Linked DNA regions of Stegostoma tigrinum. The protein of the gene in region 1 interacts with the protein of each later gene in a pairwise test. Links are inferred from orthologs where the notes say so. Each region holds a gene or a part of one and is shown in the gene's direction. Other genes may lie near its edges.

What was found.
Region 2: the proteins of cyth1b (region 1) and cytohesin-interacting protein-like interact in binary tests that used the Homo sapiens proteins (3 or more experiments, as listed by UniProt). The link is inferred for Stegostoma tigrinum from reciprocal best matches to the Homo sapiens genes CYTH1 and CYTIP.

What each region holds. Positions count from the first base shown.
Region 1 is NC_081375.1:16,531,976-16,539,385, reverse strand, and holds the start of cyth1b (cytohesin-1b), read left to right. Parts: upstream 1-2,955; 5' UTR 2,956-3,509; coding exon 3,510-3,576; intron 3,577-7,410. UniProt on the Homo sapiens protein: Promotes guanine-nucleotide exchange on ARF1, ARF5 and ARF6. Promotes the activation of ARF factors through replacement of GDP with GTP.
Region 2 is NC_081360.1:57,647,391-57,654,800, reverse strand, and holds the start of cytohesin-interacting protein-like, read left to right. Parts: upstream 1-2,308; 5' UTR 2,309-2,393; coding exon 2,394-2,576; intron 2,577-3,010; coding exon 3,011-3,060; intron 3,061-3,306; coding exon 3,307-3,361; intron 3,362-3,470; coding exon 3,471-3,573; intron 3,574-3,697; coding exon 3,698-3,791; intron 3,792-6,122; coding exon 6,123-6,189; intron 6,190-6,903; coding exon 6,904-6,970; intron 6,971-7,410. UniProt on the Homo sapiens protein: By its binding to cytohesin-1 (CYTH1), it modifies activation of ARFs by CYTH1 and its precise function may be to sequester CYTH1 in the cytoplasm.

The sequences.
Region 1 (7,410 bases):
CAATTCTGTCGATGTAGGAAGAGATGAGTTGTGTGGGGCAAGAGCAGGGATAAACGATGGGTCTGCCAGGCGGTCCTGTTGGTGGATTTTGGGAAAGAGGTAGAAGTTTGCAGGACTATGAGCTCAGAGATAGTGGTGGGGAGATAGCCAGATGACATGAAATTAGTGACTGTTGGCGACACGGTGGCCTGGTGTTTTGTGGTGGAGTCATGGTCCTATGTGAAGTACGAAGAGGTGTCCAAGGGCTGGTGCTCAGAAGCCATAATGAAGAGGCCAGTATGCCAGTGCCAGCAATTGCACCACCCTTCTTGACAGGCTTGATTACAAAGTCAGGGTTGGATCTGAGAGGACGGAGTGCAGTCAGTTCACAGTTTTTGGGAGGCAGAGATATTAAGGCAACCAGTGTGACTTTGAGTGGCGGTAAATACCACAGGTTTGGGTCCAAATGGAGGAAGAGTGTTGGTGATGGGTGAAGGGGTTTGTGGAACTAGGAGAGGACTTTCATCCAAAGAAAGAGGAACGGAGGTGAAAATGATGGAAGAGGAGTTCAACATCATGTCATGCCCAAAATTCATTTGGTTGGGGGATGAAGCAGAGACATTAAAACTGAGATTTTTGCTGAGTACAGAACACTCAGCATCAGGAAACTTAAGGTCAGACAAATAGTAAACACACAACAGGAGGTGGGATTAGGGGGTTCGGATGGTAGGGGCGAGAGGAACTTTCCAGAGGGACGTGTTGCTTCTTGTGTTCAGTAGTGCCTGAAAGGAAAAGAAAAAATTCTTGTTAGTGTTGGATGAGGCGGAGGATGAAATGGAACTGGGGTCACGGCAGCTCTGAGCCAGCATGAGATGGTGCTGTTGGAGAGAGAGATTAAGAATGTGTGTATGGCACCACCTAGCACTGAATAGCATAGTACTGTGTCCTAGCTACAATCTGTTCTGAAGAACAGTCACTGGACCTGAAACATTGACTTTTTCTCTACAGATACTCCCAGGCCTGCTGAGTTTCTTTCTAGCAATTTCTGTTTGTGTTTCTGATTTCCAACATCTGCAGTTCTTTGCTTTATTTTCTTACAAACTTCTGAGGTTTTGATTATATTTCTCCATATTTTATCATTGCTGTTAGATCACCAAACTGGACTCTGATTTGAAACGTATGTTTACATACCCTATAGCTGTTTTTGATCAATGGGACTACACAGAAGTTTTTATATACAATCGCTGACATCTGCTGAATGAGCTTCTCCTGCTCCTATGCTGTTCTGTATAGGTCCCAATTACTGTGATATAAAAGTGCTATTTTTATCAACTGCAAAGATGCTGCACGTTGATCAACAACTCCATTGTTAATAATTTGTGTAGTCTTAAAATTAGAAAACATCACCAATATTAATTTGCTGCTTTGTTAGCCCTATTACATATACTCTTCTTACTCTATTATGATGTACACGTGTATTAGTTCTTATAACATAACTACAATATTCTTGGACCATTGCAGCCATAGATAATTAACTCCTAATCATGATCCTGACTTGGAAATGTATCACTTTTCCTTCAGTGTTGCTGGTCAAAATCCTGGAATTCCCTCACGAACTGCATTGTGGGTCTACCTAGAGCACATGAACTGCAGTGGTTCAGCTCACCACCACCTTCTCAAGGGCAACCAAGGATGTGCAATACATGCTGGCTCAACAAAAGAATTGAAAGAAAAACTTCATCAACGTTGCTCGTAAATCAACAGAACATTTTTATAAAAAAAAATGTGAAGCTGATATAACTTCAGTTTCAATACGGTTCCTCATGGTAAATGGTCCTTCGCCGATCAATTGGCAGATAATTGGAATTTGCCATATTGTGAATCGGAGGGATGGAGTTGCATCCTTATACCCTACTACAACTTGATATGTCGTTTTAGTACACGAGGATGCTGTCCGCTATAGTTGTCTGAAAGCATTGTCTGCCCTATAAATAAGCTTGCCATATATGGAGCGCTGCACAGTCACTGGATGTTATCTGCTTTCTTAGATACATAAGTTATTTTTTTACTCCCCACTTGCTGACAGCTCCTGTTATTTTAGCTTTTCATTTCTACATGAGGACTATATAGTCTTTTCCTTTAAAGGAATAGATCTAAGATTGAAAGTATCTTGGAAAAAGAAAATGTGTTGACATTTCTGAAGTCTTCCAACAATACATCATTTGAATGAATTTGGATCCGGTATCAAACTTGATAGCAGTCAAATAGCTTTACTCCTCCTCATATTGCACCAGTGACTGTGGCATAAGAGAGCAGAACTTCAGTTTTGATCAGCATTTTGACTGAAAATCAAAACTGAGATTATAAACCTGTAAGAGATTGTTGGAAAAGAAACTTCATGACATTTGTTAAATTGTACCTGCATCCTAGTGAGATTACAAAGAAATGTGTGCCAAAAAAATGACAAATTGAACACATTGCTGCAGTGCTTTTCTGATGTTTAAAAAAACAACTGTAACAGTATCAGATGAATATTTAAAAAGAGAAGTTGCTTTCTAAAACATATCTGGGTACTAGTGAAATAAATTTATATCGTGTTAAGCTCTACATTTATCTTCTCACCTTTGACCAGAAATATATAAATTACTGAAAAACATGTTGCATGCCCAAAGGGCATATTTTTAGAACTAATTATGATTAGTCAATCATTTAAAACATTGCCAAAAAAAATCCCTGAATGTACTATTTTGTAGTATTGTGTACTGTAGCCAGCTTTGGCAAAATCACATGTTAAAAAACAAACAAATTGGATAATACTGCTCCTTTTATCATAGAAGCTGGAATCTTTGAACCTTGTTTAGAAGAATCTCTTTTCATTCTTTTGAAGAATTGCAATTACTTTTCAAGTTTTTTTAGTAATAGTGCAAGTCTTAATTTCTAACACTTTTTAAAAAAAAAACCTTTTACACAATACTGAGTACATTTTTAGTGCGTTCATTTTATGTAATGGAGAGTAAGTTGCTAAGCAACAATGAAAAAGGTTTTGTAGGTGAACATGGAATCTTTGTTATAAATTAAAAGCCCCTAGAAAACTTAATAACATTCACCTTGACAAGGGCTGGTAGGAGCTAAGGTTGGAGATGCAAGTAATTCACAATTATTTGACTTTATTACTTAAATAGACGTTAGATTGTGTTGTCATCTATGTGCACCTGATTGGCTGAATGAATACTGAGGCAGGTTGTCAGGCAGTGACGTTGAAACACTTTGGCAATTTGGAAATATTTAAGCCTTTCCTGGATGTGTGGCCAGTGAAATTCGATTACTGACAGTCTGCTGCAGTGGTGCACCAAGGGACTACATATATAGAGAAAAACCAGATGACAGTATTTCCCCATTTGGGAGAGGACTTCAAAACTGACTACCAGAGAGATTACATTATCCCGTGAAGCCTGTGTGGCGAAAAGCCCATATCCACTGAGATAAATACATTTGACGGCTTTTGGATTATAAAAAAATTGAACCGAGTGATGGGAACTGTTAGTGAGCTCTGTGCATCCAGCTTCCAGGCTTTCCTCTGTGTAAATGCAAAACCAGGTATGGTTGAATGAGATTTAAAGCTGAAAGATAGTCTTTGACTAGTACTGTAAGAGACACCACTTTAGGTGGTGGGTTTCCAAATTTAACAAACTGATCAGATGCAATGGCTATAAAAGTGAAACACTTTGATCCATTACCCATTTTTCAGCATGTTTGTTTTGTTTTGAGTTAAATATATTTCCTGTTAATACAATGCTTTAGCAATACTGACTGTGTACAATCTGAATATCCATAGCAATGAAGAAAACAGACTGGAATTGATATGTTTGCCAGTATTGTATGGTCATTATTATGGCAATATTGCCATTATTATACTTTTATGAATGTTTAAAATTGCTTCAAAAGAGACAAGAGTCAAAAAATTAATAAAACTCTATTTACTCCTGAAATTCTGCAACTATTTTTCAAAAACTTTCATCTTTTCTGATGAACTTGAAATTTAATTCCAGTTGTGGCTCGATTAGCATCAGGTTTTGTGTAGATGACTGCATTTTTGAGCAGTGAAACATCTGGAAACCTGCTAGAGGTGGAAGCACTTGTTGTTTTTCTGTGAAACTTCCTTCTTGTATTAGGTCACTAACTAACTGGTATTTTTCCCACTTGAACTGCACTAGAATTGAGAGATCTGGAAGATTTTGAAATTAATATCACCACTATCTACATATTTATTGTATTGTGCAGAAAAATGCTGAGATGTTGATTAGTGTTAATGAAATCAGTAATTTGTTAATTTGAATTTGATAATTTATTACTGAGTGTTACACTATGTAGTAGGTATTTGAGCATTGGTTATTAAAACAGGTTTTGTAGTAAATATTCTGTCTAGTAATCACTGAAATATGTATAATCTCATGTGCAAACCTTTGTCCATGTCCAATTTATTTCAATTGTATTGACATGTAGCCGATATGACAGTTTTTAACGCAGTTGACTGTCTCTTGAAGAATGATTGTTCGTGTTAACAGGATTCCATAGAAGTAGGGAATAATTACAGCACAAGGGAACCATTTGGCCCTTTGCGTCCATGCTAGCATACTACAAGAACAACTTAGCTAGTTCTAATCTCTCATCCTTTTCCTGTAGTTCTACAATTTATTTTTCCCTTCCGATAGTTATCTAATTCCCCTTTTAAATCTGCTATTGAAACTGCTTCCAGCTGCACTAGGATAGATTTTTAGGTCTGTCGGTAAGGAAGAGTGTTTGGGAATAAATAGATACGCTTTCAGAAGAACCAGTGCAGAAGAGATCGATCAGGTGGCCTCCTGTGCTGTATGTTTAAGAAATAAATTTCCTCTATTCAATTTGTGCCTTTAAATCCTGAAATAGTTGAGAGAGCATTTAACTTACGATGATTTCAAAATGTGTACATAGTAATACCATAGTTTCCATTAAGTTTGAAAAAGATGCCCCTTGTCAAATTTATATATAATATTTATCAGAAGGATCATACAGGAAGTTCTAATATTTCAGCATAATCATTGATTAAAACATAACGTGGCAACAGACAGCTTCATAATCTGTCAGCATGTTTTGTAGTCTTGATCTTTCCGACAGTGATGTTCTGTCATTTAGTGGATTGTCATCCAAAATAAGCAATCAAATGCAAATATTAATTTGGGGAAAATAGAACCTGTAGGAGAGTATAGCCTTCTGCCCATCAATCCAAATGCTACGTGTAAGGAGGCTTTTCTGCTAGTCGTCTGTAGTGTATGTTAGCATTAAGAATGGAATAGACATCCATCAGCTGACTAAAGCAAGAAATGCTGACAGCAGAATGCTTGGTTTGAAGTTTCTGTTCCTAAAAGTAACTTGCATATTCAGACATTTCAGCCACTAAAATGGCTGTGCAGCTTTTGTGCAGTGTTGTTTGTGATTAAATACTTTTTTGAGCCTTCAGAGGAGTCAACCACAAGTTATCTTTTTGTATTTCTTTCAATCTTGATTTAAAGCACAAAATAGGCTTGAAATGTTACAAATACAGTCCTGAATACTCTTTTCATTTTAAGTGTATCTTACAGTATTTCTTGAGACCTGCATACTACTTTACGTAATCAGTGCAAATCCCATTCAAGATTGTGCTGAGTTGGCAAAATGATCATCTGTTGTGAAGTTCGTATCGCTAACGCCGTGAGACTCCATTTTGAACATTTGAGTATTTGGCTGGAGTTTGAAATACTGGATTCAGAATGGCCTTTTTTACTATAATCTCTTGTTTCTTGTTTTTTGGCAGTCTGTGTAAATTATGGCTTGACCTCCTACTGTCATTATTACTCAAGAACATAATTTTCAGGATTTCTTCCTGAGAGAGTATAATTAACTCTTGGCAATAACAGTAGCTATTCATTAAGTTTGAGTCTTGCAACTTGTAATATACCCCACTCCTCAGCAACCCATTGACTTGAAAAGCTTAATCTTGTTTTTTTTAAAATGCCTATCGAGAGGTTTTCAAAACTGGCGTCGAAGTACTAACCACCTCATCAACTTTCCTCCTCAATGGGAGGAGAATTTCAGGACAGAGGTATTTGTGGTTGCTGACTGACCAAGCAATGTTCAGGACCTCATTCTCACTCTTCAATGATGCTTGTTGTATAAGGCCAAAAATTACGCAACACCAGGTTATAGTGCAACAGGTCTATTTGAAAACACCAGCTTTTGTAATCTCATTCCTTCTTCAGGTGTCAGGGAGAGAGGTGTCATTCAACACAGAACGTACAGGCAAAAGATCAAAGGATCATAGAACTGATCCGAATACATTGTACAAACCTGAGATGGCTGTGAAATCTTAAATCAGTTAGAAGGGATTAATGTGCAAATCCCAGAATATTTTTCAAATAAAACCAGTCTGAATCCAAGTAAATACACAGCCAAATTCTAAACAAGTTCTGCCACCTAAAATGCATTGTCTGACCTGAGGTGTCACCTTTGGTATACTGATAACACGTTTAGTTATCTTGGGGCAGTGACTTGAAAAAATTTCTGGGATTTGCGTATTAATCCTTTCTAACTGATTAACGATTTAACAGCCATCTTAGGTTTGTTCAATGCATTTGCAGCAGTTCTATGACCCTTTGATATTTTGCGTATAAATTCTGTGTCTGATGCCACCTCTCACTGACACCTGAGGAAGGAGCAAGACTCCGAAAACATGTGTCTTCAAATGAACCTGTTGGACTATCTGGTCGCTTGTGATTTTGACCTCATCCAGCTCAGTCCAACACTGGCCTTTCCACATCATGGCTTTTTGTATAGTGTGTTGTTCACTTCTGGATGCTTTTGTTTCTTGTCATGTCTGGTGCATTCCTTATGGATCTCTGTGTTCCATTCCCATGGTTTATTTACTGCTGGGTCTGGCTTTGGCAACTGCAATTTTTCAAGTTTCCATTTCCATTTCCATGTCAATAATTTTTGCTCCATGTGGCCACATAACACAATTCTTCTTTAATGCTCCCAATACCCATCCAATTCCAGCCTCAACCCACTTCCTGACCTTCGTGGACAGTAGCCCAATCCAAAATGTCAACTGTCAAAATCCGTAGTGATTGCTTCCAATCCTCTTGCCTCTGCCTTCTCGCCGTGTAAGTGATTTTATATCATTCCTCTGTTCATAGTTGCTGGAGTATCACCACCCTCTGAGCTTTCAGGGCCATAATGCAATTGTAGCGTGTTTCTGGATTGCTTGTACGCTCACTGCCCATTTTTACCAAGAATGCTTTTTCATATGGAGTTTTCTCTTTTATTCCCTTCTAAATCATTAACCCCACCCCACCCACTGCTGCCTTTTTCCATTCTCCATTCTCAGCTTTTGGGAATTTTCTGAATGCAACCAATACG
Region 2 (7,410 bases), on another chromosome or scaffold:
CCCACCCCAACTTAATTTTTTTCCATAACTTTCCATGTAACTGACAGCTCACCCCCACCCCAGGATGATTTGCCAGGAACTCTGATCCCAGCATGATTCAGGTGGAGCCTGTCCCATCGGAATAGCTCCCTCTCTCCCCAACACTGGTACCATTGTCCCATGAATTTAAAACCGTTTCTCGCACGCCAATCTTTGAGCCTCATGTTTACCTCTAACTTTTTTCGCCCTGTGTCTGTTTCCTCATCGCTCAGAAGTAATCCAAAGAGTATTATCTTTTTGGTTCTGCTTTCTAATTTAGCCACCAGCTGCTTATATTCAATCAGGAGAACCTCTTTCCTCTTTCAACCTATATCATTGGCACCCATGTGGACCATGATAACCGGATGTTAACCCTCCCACTCGAAATTTGTTTGTTGCCCAGATGAGAGAACCCAAGCACCAGGCAGGCATCACAACCTTCGGGGCTCTCAATCCTGGCCACAGAGGACACTGTCTATTCCCCTGACTCTATACTGTCTCCAAATACAAGTAAATTTTTCATTTCTGTGCCCCTCTAGAATGGTACAACATCAGGGAGGGGGAGCATTACCTGGATGCGCTGTTTCAGGAGATAGTCACACCCCTAAGATTAACTACCTCAAATCTGGTCAGTGGTCAGGGATGGGAGATTGTGACTATGAGCGAGGAAGGTACAGAGATTCTGTACCATGGTGCTAAGGTCAGTTTGTTCATCCTGTCTACAGTCTCTGCTCTCATCCACACAAGAAGCAAGAATCTCAAACCAGTTAGACAAGCTCAAGGGCTGAGTCCCCTTTAGCACTACCTCCTGGATCTCTCTTCTTCTTCGCTCATAGTCACACTCTCACATCTCTCTGATGACTGACCAGATTTGAGGTAGTTAATCTTAGGGGTGTGACTATCTTCTGAAGCAGTGCATCCAGGTAACGCTCCCCCTCCCTGATGTTGTTTCAGTGTTCAAAGCTCAAACTCCAGCTCATCAGCTCTGAGCCAATACTTGCGCAGATGTGGTCAGTACGAACCATAATGGAGTCCACCAGCTCCCAGTTCATACATTTCGCCTGGCCTGGTATCTCTATTTTAATTACTTAATTCTTCATTTGATTTAAAAAAAAGTACTGGCCTTTTAGTTTGTAACCTGTACATATTTCAGCGGTTTACCTTAGATTTGAAGCTAATTTGAAATAGTCAAATTAGTAGCTTTCACCAACCAACGAACTTATGGTTTACGTGTGACATCACTCTCTTGTGCATGGTGCCTGATCCTGGACTTCAATTTATCCTGTTTAAAAAAAAACCTTACAAAGCACGAGCCAAAAGAAAGCAAGCAAAAAGCTTGCCTTTCCCTCTGCATCGATTTTCCAAGCTGCTGCCAGAGACTCAGACTATATCCTCACTTTGGCTATCTCTCACTGTGAATGTGATCCCTCTTTCTGACCTTGTGAAGCTGATGACTTGGTGAGGCTATTGCCTATCCAATTCCAACCTCCATGGATGAAGGATGCAGGTGGTTGCTGCCCATGGAGTGTGCCCTGAGATGTTGAGGACTGTGGGACAGGATGGACGCTAGAAGGGCATGCAACATGGCAACAGCAGCCAACTACCAGCTCAGACTTTCCTGCCTGGAGTTATTACTTCCTAGTTTCAGTCCACTATCTGGAAAAGTAGCAATCTGGAAAACAACAGTGATAAGAATTGGTAAAAATGAGATGCTAAAGCATGCAGAGATAATGGGAACTGCAGATCCTGGAGAATCCAAGATAACAAAGTGTGGGGCTGGATGAACACAGCAGGCCAAGCAGTATCTTTGGAGCAAATTGGCCTCTTGCCACTCTGTGGAGATTCTTGCCTGCCGTCACAGTGGAAAATGAATAAAAGACTTAATTTTTTTAGATCCAGAATTTCATACTTCTGCTCTCACCATATTTTACTAACTGACTGGCATTGGCCTCCTCTGCCCTGGGTGTTAAACTGAACTGTGGACTTTTTAAAAACAGGGTCAAAATCGAACTGCTTTTCAATTGAATGGATCTAAACTATGAAGAAAACATAGATGAGACCATTAAATGAGCAATTCCAGTGTTTTCTGGCCAGCCTTTTTAAAATTTTAATTTATTACTTTGTCTTGGAAACTGCAACCCAAGGTCGGATTGTAAAAAGTTAGGCGAGGCAAGGCTTGGTCCCCAACCCTTCCTCCAGCAACTTGCGAAAACGTAGCCGATTGATGTAAAATGCCAAGTGCCCACAAAACCAAATCACATGACCTGAATTTCCGTCTGTGCAACTTCTGTGAACGCTTTGAGTTAAGCTCGATCTAGCTTTGCTGGACTTCGTGCAGGTTATTTTACAACGATGAGACTGGCTGATTCGCAATCATGACTTTCCAAAGTGTCCTTCAAATTAACGTCAACGCGAATTACATGGCAGCGGATTCTTCATCAGCCAGCTGCGGCTCTTATTCCGAGATCTCCAACCGGAGCTTCTCTGCCGAAAATGACAACAAGCGGCTTCAGATACTCGCCAACTCGCTGGGAACATTGCCCCGGGGACACAGACAGGTAAAGCAGACATCCCAGACACAACTATTGCCCAGCTCTAACAAGTACATAGATAACATTGTAGCGGATGCTATAATGATTCTCCATAAACTAGTAGAATAAAGATACTTTGCTCCTAATATTTTCCTGTTCAGATTGTAATTTTTGTTCAATAAATGTGAACTAAAACAAAATAAGTAAAAATTGCAAAGCAATTTATTAAATTGGTCAGTGTTTTGAGTACAGATTATGTTAAATTTGCTTTTACTTTATTAAGCAGTTAGCAAGACTTGGTGAAACATGTAACTGATTTAGAGAAATAGTACAGGGCACAAAAATGGAGAGGGTTTTAGTCAGACTAGTGTTGATCAGAGGTAGGTTAATGGATGTGGTTGGGTCTCCAAACAGAAATTCTTGATGACAACATTAATTTTGATTCTTTCTTTCCTTTGCAGCTTTCATTGACTAGATCAAACTCTTTGGCTGACACTTCAGATTTTCGAAAGTAAGATATACTTTTGTACTGTTGATTTTAAATATCAGAAGATAATGTGTTCCCTGGCATCTAACTCTGTTGTGATGTCAGAAGAAGGTTGGTGTGATCCTGATGTTGTTACAGTCAAAATGCAGAATGCTGCATGTACCATTTATTTTACAAGTGACAGAATGCTTATAAGTTTCCAGGAGTTAGATTTTTTCTAATGCTTACTCCATTCTATAAAAAAAATTACTTTTTTTGTTTTCCAAACAGAAAAATGGTTGTTTTAAATAAGCAAGATAATGAAACTTTTGGATTTGAGATTCAGGTGAGAAAATTATATATGTACAGTATTTTCAAGATAGAACTCAATGCTAATTTTACAATTAGTTTCAGAAATAAATAGCAGGTCTTTTTGTTTTTTTTTCCACTTGTAGACCGTTGGAATGGATCAGCAAAATGCCAATACATTACAGAGGTGCACGTTTGTCTGCAAGGTGCATGACAACAGTCCTTCTCATTTCGCAGGGCTGAAGGCTGGTAACTATCCACTTCCTCTTTTGGCCCGCTTGGCTCTGATGTTCTCACAATGTGCAGTAATTACATATAGTTCATTACATAGCTTCCTTATCTGTCTATCACTCATTATTTTTCTATATAACAGGTGATATGCTAGTTAACATCAATGGAGTGGATACTGAAGGGTTTAGTCACCAAGAAATTGTCGATCTAATTAAGTCATCTGGTAATTTATTAAGGTTAGTATCCCAGAGCAATCCTCTGTTTCTGTAGCTGGTAACAGTTTCAATTTTGCCAATATTGCACTAAAGCAAACATTGTAACAGTGCTTTTTCTGGAGACCAGGAAGTTACAGAGCATGTAGGGGATATGAAGTGGTGTAACTGATTACAGAAAGCTTTTTTTGGCTACTCTCAGGGACAACACCACAAGTGTTTTAAGTCACTGAGTGCAAGGAAAACTTGCTGCCACCTCTCATTTTAAAGGGAAGATTCACAGATTAGCAATAGTCATTTCTGTTCTGTGTATTTAAATTGGAAAAATCTTCAGTGGTGTATTTGCTGAAGTGGGATTTTCATTCTTGGTGTTGATTTTATTTCTTCCACAAACATGTAATAATACCAGTTTATGGTGTTTGAAAATGGGATCACTGCTGTTGCATTACCATTCTTAAACATATTTGGGTTCAAAACATATCTGATGAAATAAAAGCAACTGTATGACCTCAATTGGTGTCGCTTTTGTACAATTTGCTCTGTTCTTCCAAAAACTTTGCAATACTGATACCTTGGCAAAACAAAACTGAGCATTTAACAATATGAAGGGCATAAAGTTGTGATCCTTGTCAAATACAAAGTTAACACGCCAGAGAAAGCTAGTGATTGTCCATTCAAATTTAACTGATATATTTTTCTAGCAGTATGATGTCTAAATTACTTTCCAACAACCTCTCTGGCCCTGAAATTTCACCAGTCCCATTTCAATTAAACTTCTCTGTCTCTTTGACTCTGACCCATTATGTACTTCCTCACCCCTTGCCCAAGCACTGCCAGCCTTCAGTTGGCTAAGCCAAATTCTTCCAACTGAGGTAGGAAGCAGGAGCCTATTACTGTGTCGGAAACCTGCTTCCTGGTGGAGTGAGTTCTTAAGTAATTGAAGGATTTCATGTCAGATTGAAGCTGATGGTCTCAGGAATGGAGGCAGGTGAAATGGAGTGGGGGACACATTCAGGCAGCTACAGCAGCCATCACTGAAGCTGCTAGTTATCTTTGCAGCTCATCTTCAGTGACCTCAGTTTTTTGAGGGTGCAGAATCCACTTCCATCTGCATCTTTCTGTAGCTTACCTGGAGTTCAGACAACTACGCCCACTGTTCCCTAAACTGGAAAAGTTCTTAATTTTGACTCCTCCCCTGACCTGTGATGGACTGCTGTAACTTTAACTTCAAAAGGACAAGTCGTTAAACCTCTGCTGAGCACTTCCTTTTTGAAACCCTATCGGTCTCAATGACTTGCCCTGACATGAACCCTGCTTGCCTTCATTTGAACTGGACGTTTCAGGAGATGGATTTTTAACCAGCCTTAGGAGATGAACTGGCTTAGGAGTGCTGATGAGTTGGAGGCCAGCTTTTCCACTGCCCATATGAAGATCATTAACATCAGGAACAGATATGTTCCTGGAACGATAAAAGGCAGATGACAGCATTGGAAAAATTTCCTCAGTTCTTCATATCACTCTCCTTCTTGAAGACAATTGTCAAAACTCACCTCGTCGACCAAAGTTTTGTTCAACTCTTTGCTTTTTCTCTTGATAATAGCATTGAAAGAAAATAAATTTAAATGTCCTTTGCTTATATGTCATTACTAAATAAATTTTAAAATATCACTCTTCCATCATTTTTTAAACCCTAATGCAGTGTCATTTGGAATATCCTCCTGCTTTGCTCTGTCTGAAATAATGTTTTTTGAATTAGACTGATGTTTGTTAGTTAGTCTGCAAAGGCAGTTAACCGCACATGTTGTGGTGTGAGATAGAGAATTCTAGGATTTTTATGCACTCACAATGAATGACATCATTATCCCAATGTAAGAATGACTTACTTGGAAGGGAACTTCAGGGTGATAATCTGCATATAATATTTCTGCACTTGTTTGGCTTGGAGGCTGAGATGTGTTTGAAGTGAACTTGTTGCAATGCTGAGATAACAAGATGTAGAGCTGGATGAACACAGCAGGCTAAGCAGCATCAGAGGAGCAGAAAAGCTGACATTTCGGGCCTTGATCCTTCTTCAGAAATGGAAGAGTCTGAAGAAGGGTCTAGGCCCGAAACATCAGCCTTCCTGCTCCTCTGATGCTGCTTTGCCTGCTGTGTTCATCCAGCTCTACACCTTGTTATCACAGATTCTCCAGCATCTGCAGTTCCTACTATCTCTGTTGCATAGCTGCAGTGCATCCTGTAGAAAACTACATATTTCAGCCACCAACTGACAGTTATGGGGGAACGGATATCTTTTTAGTGCAAGCCTGCGTCAGGCAATGTTTTCTGTACTTGAACTTTACCTCTACTTTACAGCGTGTTAACTGTTCATAAGGACTCTATCAGAAGAGATCAACTTGAAACAAGATTGCATTTTTTAAAGGTATTCTTTCCAATCTGTTTTTTGAATGTCAGTTTAACAGTTGAATAATAAGAACAAACAAACAATTCAGCAACATGCTTGCAAGATGGAGATATAAACTGAATTAATTATCTTGTAAAACACATAATGAGAAATTGCAACGAATATAAGTACCTGTAAAGTAATTATTCATGTATATAACTGATCATGGAATCGCTATGACTCGACTCAATTTATCAGCCAGTTTGGAATTCTCCTTTCCAGAAAAAAATGCACCAATCCAGTTACTGTGTAGTTCAAATAAATTATATCAACTGTAGTTATTTTAGACAGTCAATATCCCAACCTTTCTAAACAGCGTAGAAGTGCTTTTAAGTTTGTGGTCTGATTGTACAGTTTTACATAAAGATACTCATCCCTTATTTTCCTTTGAATCTGAATCAAAATATATCTATATACTTAATAATGAATTTGAGATTTCAAAGTTTTAGCATCTCTGTTATTTTGTTTGAATAGATTTGGAAGATTATTTTATTGACTATTTCTTCAGTGTCATATGATTTTGGTGAATTAATTAAATTAAAGATAATCAATCAGTACTTTGTTCATGTTAATTTGTTGAAATGTCCAACCTTCTAATGAAAAGGTGATGCATATATTGCAGAAAAGGTGCATTTGCACATAGCATCTATATTTTTACACTTTATCAACACTCTGCCTTCCTGTGTGTGCTAGAAAACACTTCAAGAGAAATGGGTGGAGTACAGATCAGTTTTGCTACAGGAACAACGCCTAGTTCATGGTAAGATCTGGCTGGGAGACTACAATGTGTCAACATTTTACTGCTAGCACAAATTTCAAAATATAATTTTAAACATTTACATGTTATGGCAAAGTTAAAATGAAGAAGCTACTTCAAAATTTTATGCATTTCTATTTCAATGAATTTATATTTTATCACAATTAAAGGATTTCATCACTCGCAACTTAATGTACGTCAAAGGTAACAGAGCACATTTATCATACAGAGATGTAGAGTAAAATGCCCTCTGTCTTCTAAAGAAATGTAACTGCTCTGTGTCTAGAAAAATTATTGTTCTTGAACCAATGAGACTTTTTTTTGTTTCCCAAACATATCATTGTTGTTGGTAAGAATGCTCGTCCATTTGTGAATAATTCAAGATGGGCTGTAGCTACTGGAACTGAAATGGGACTTTACAACCAAGTCTCAATGGACCCTCA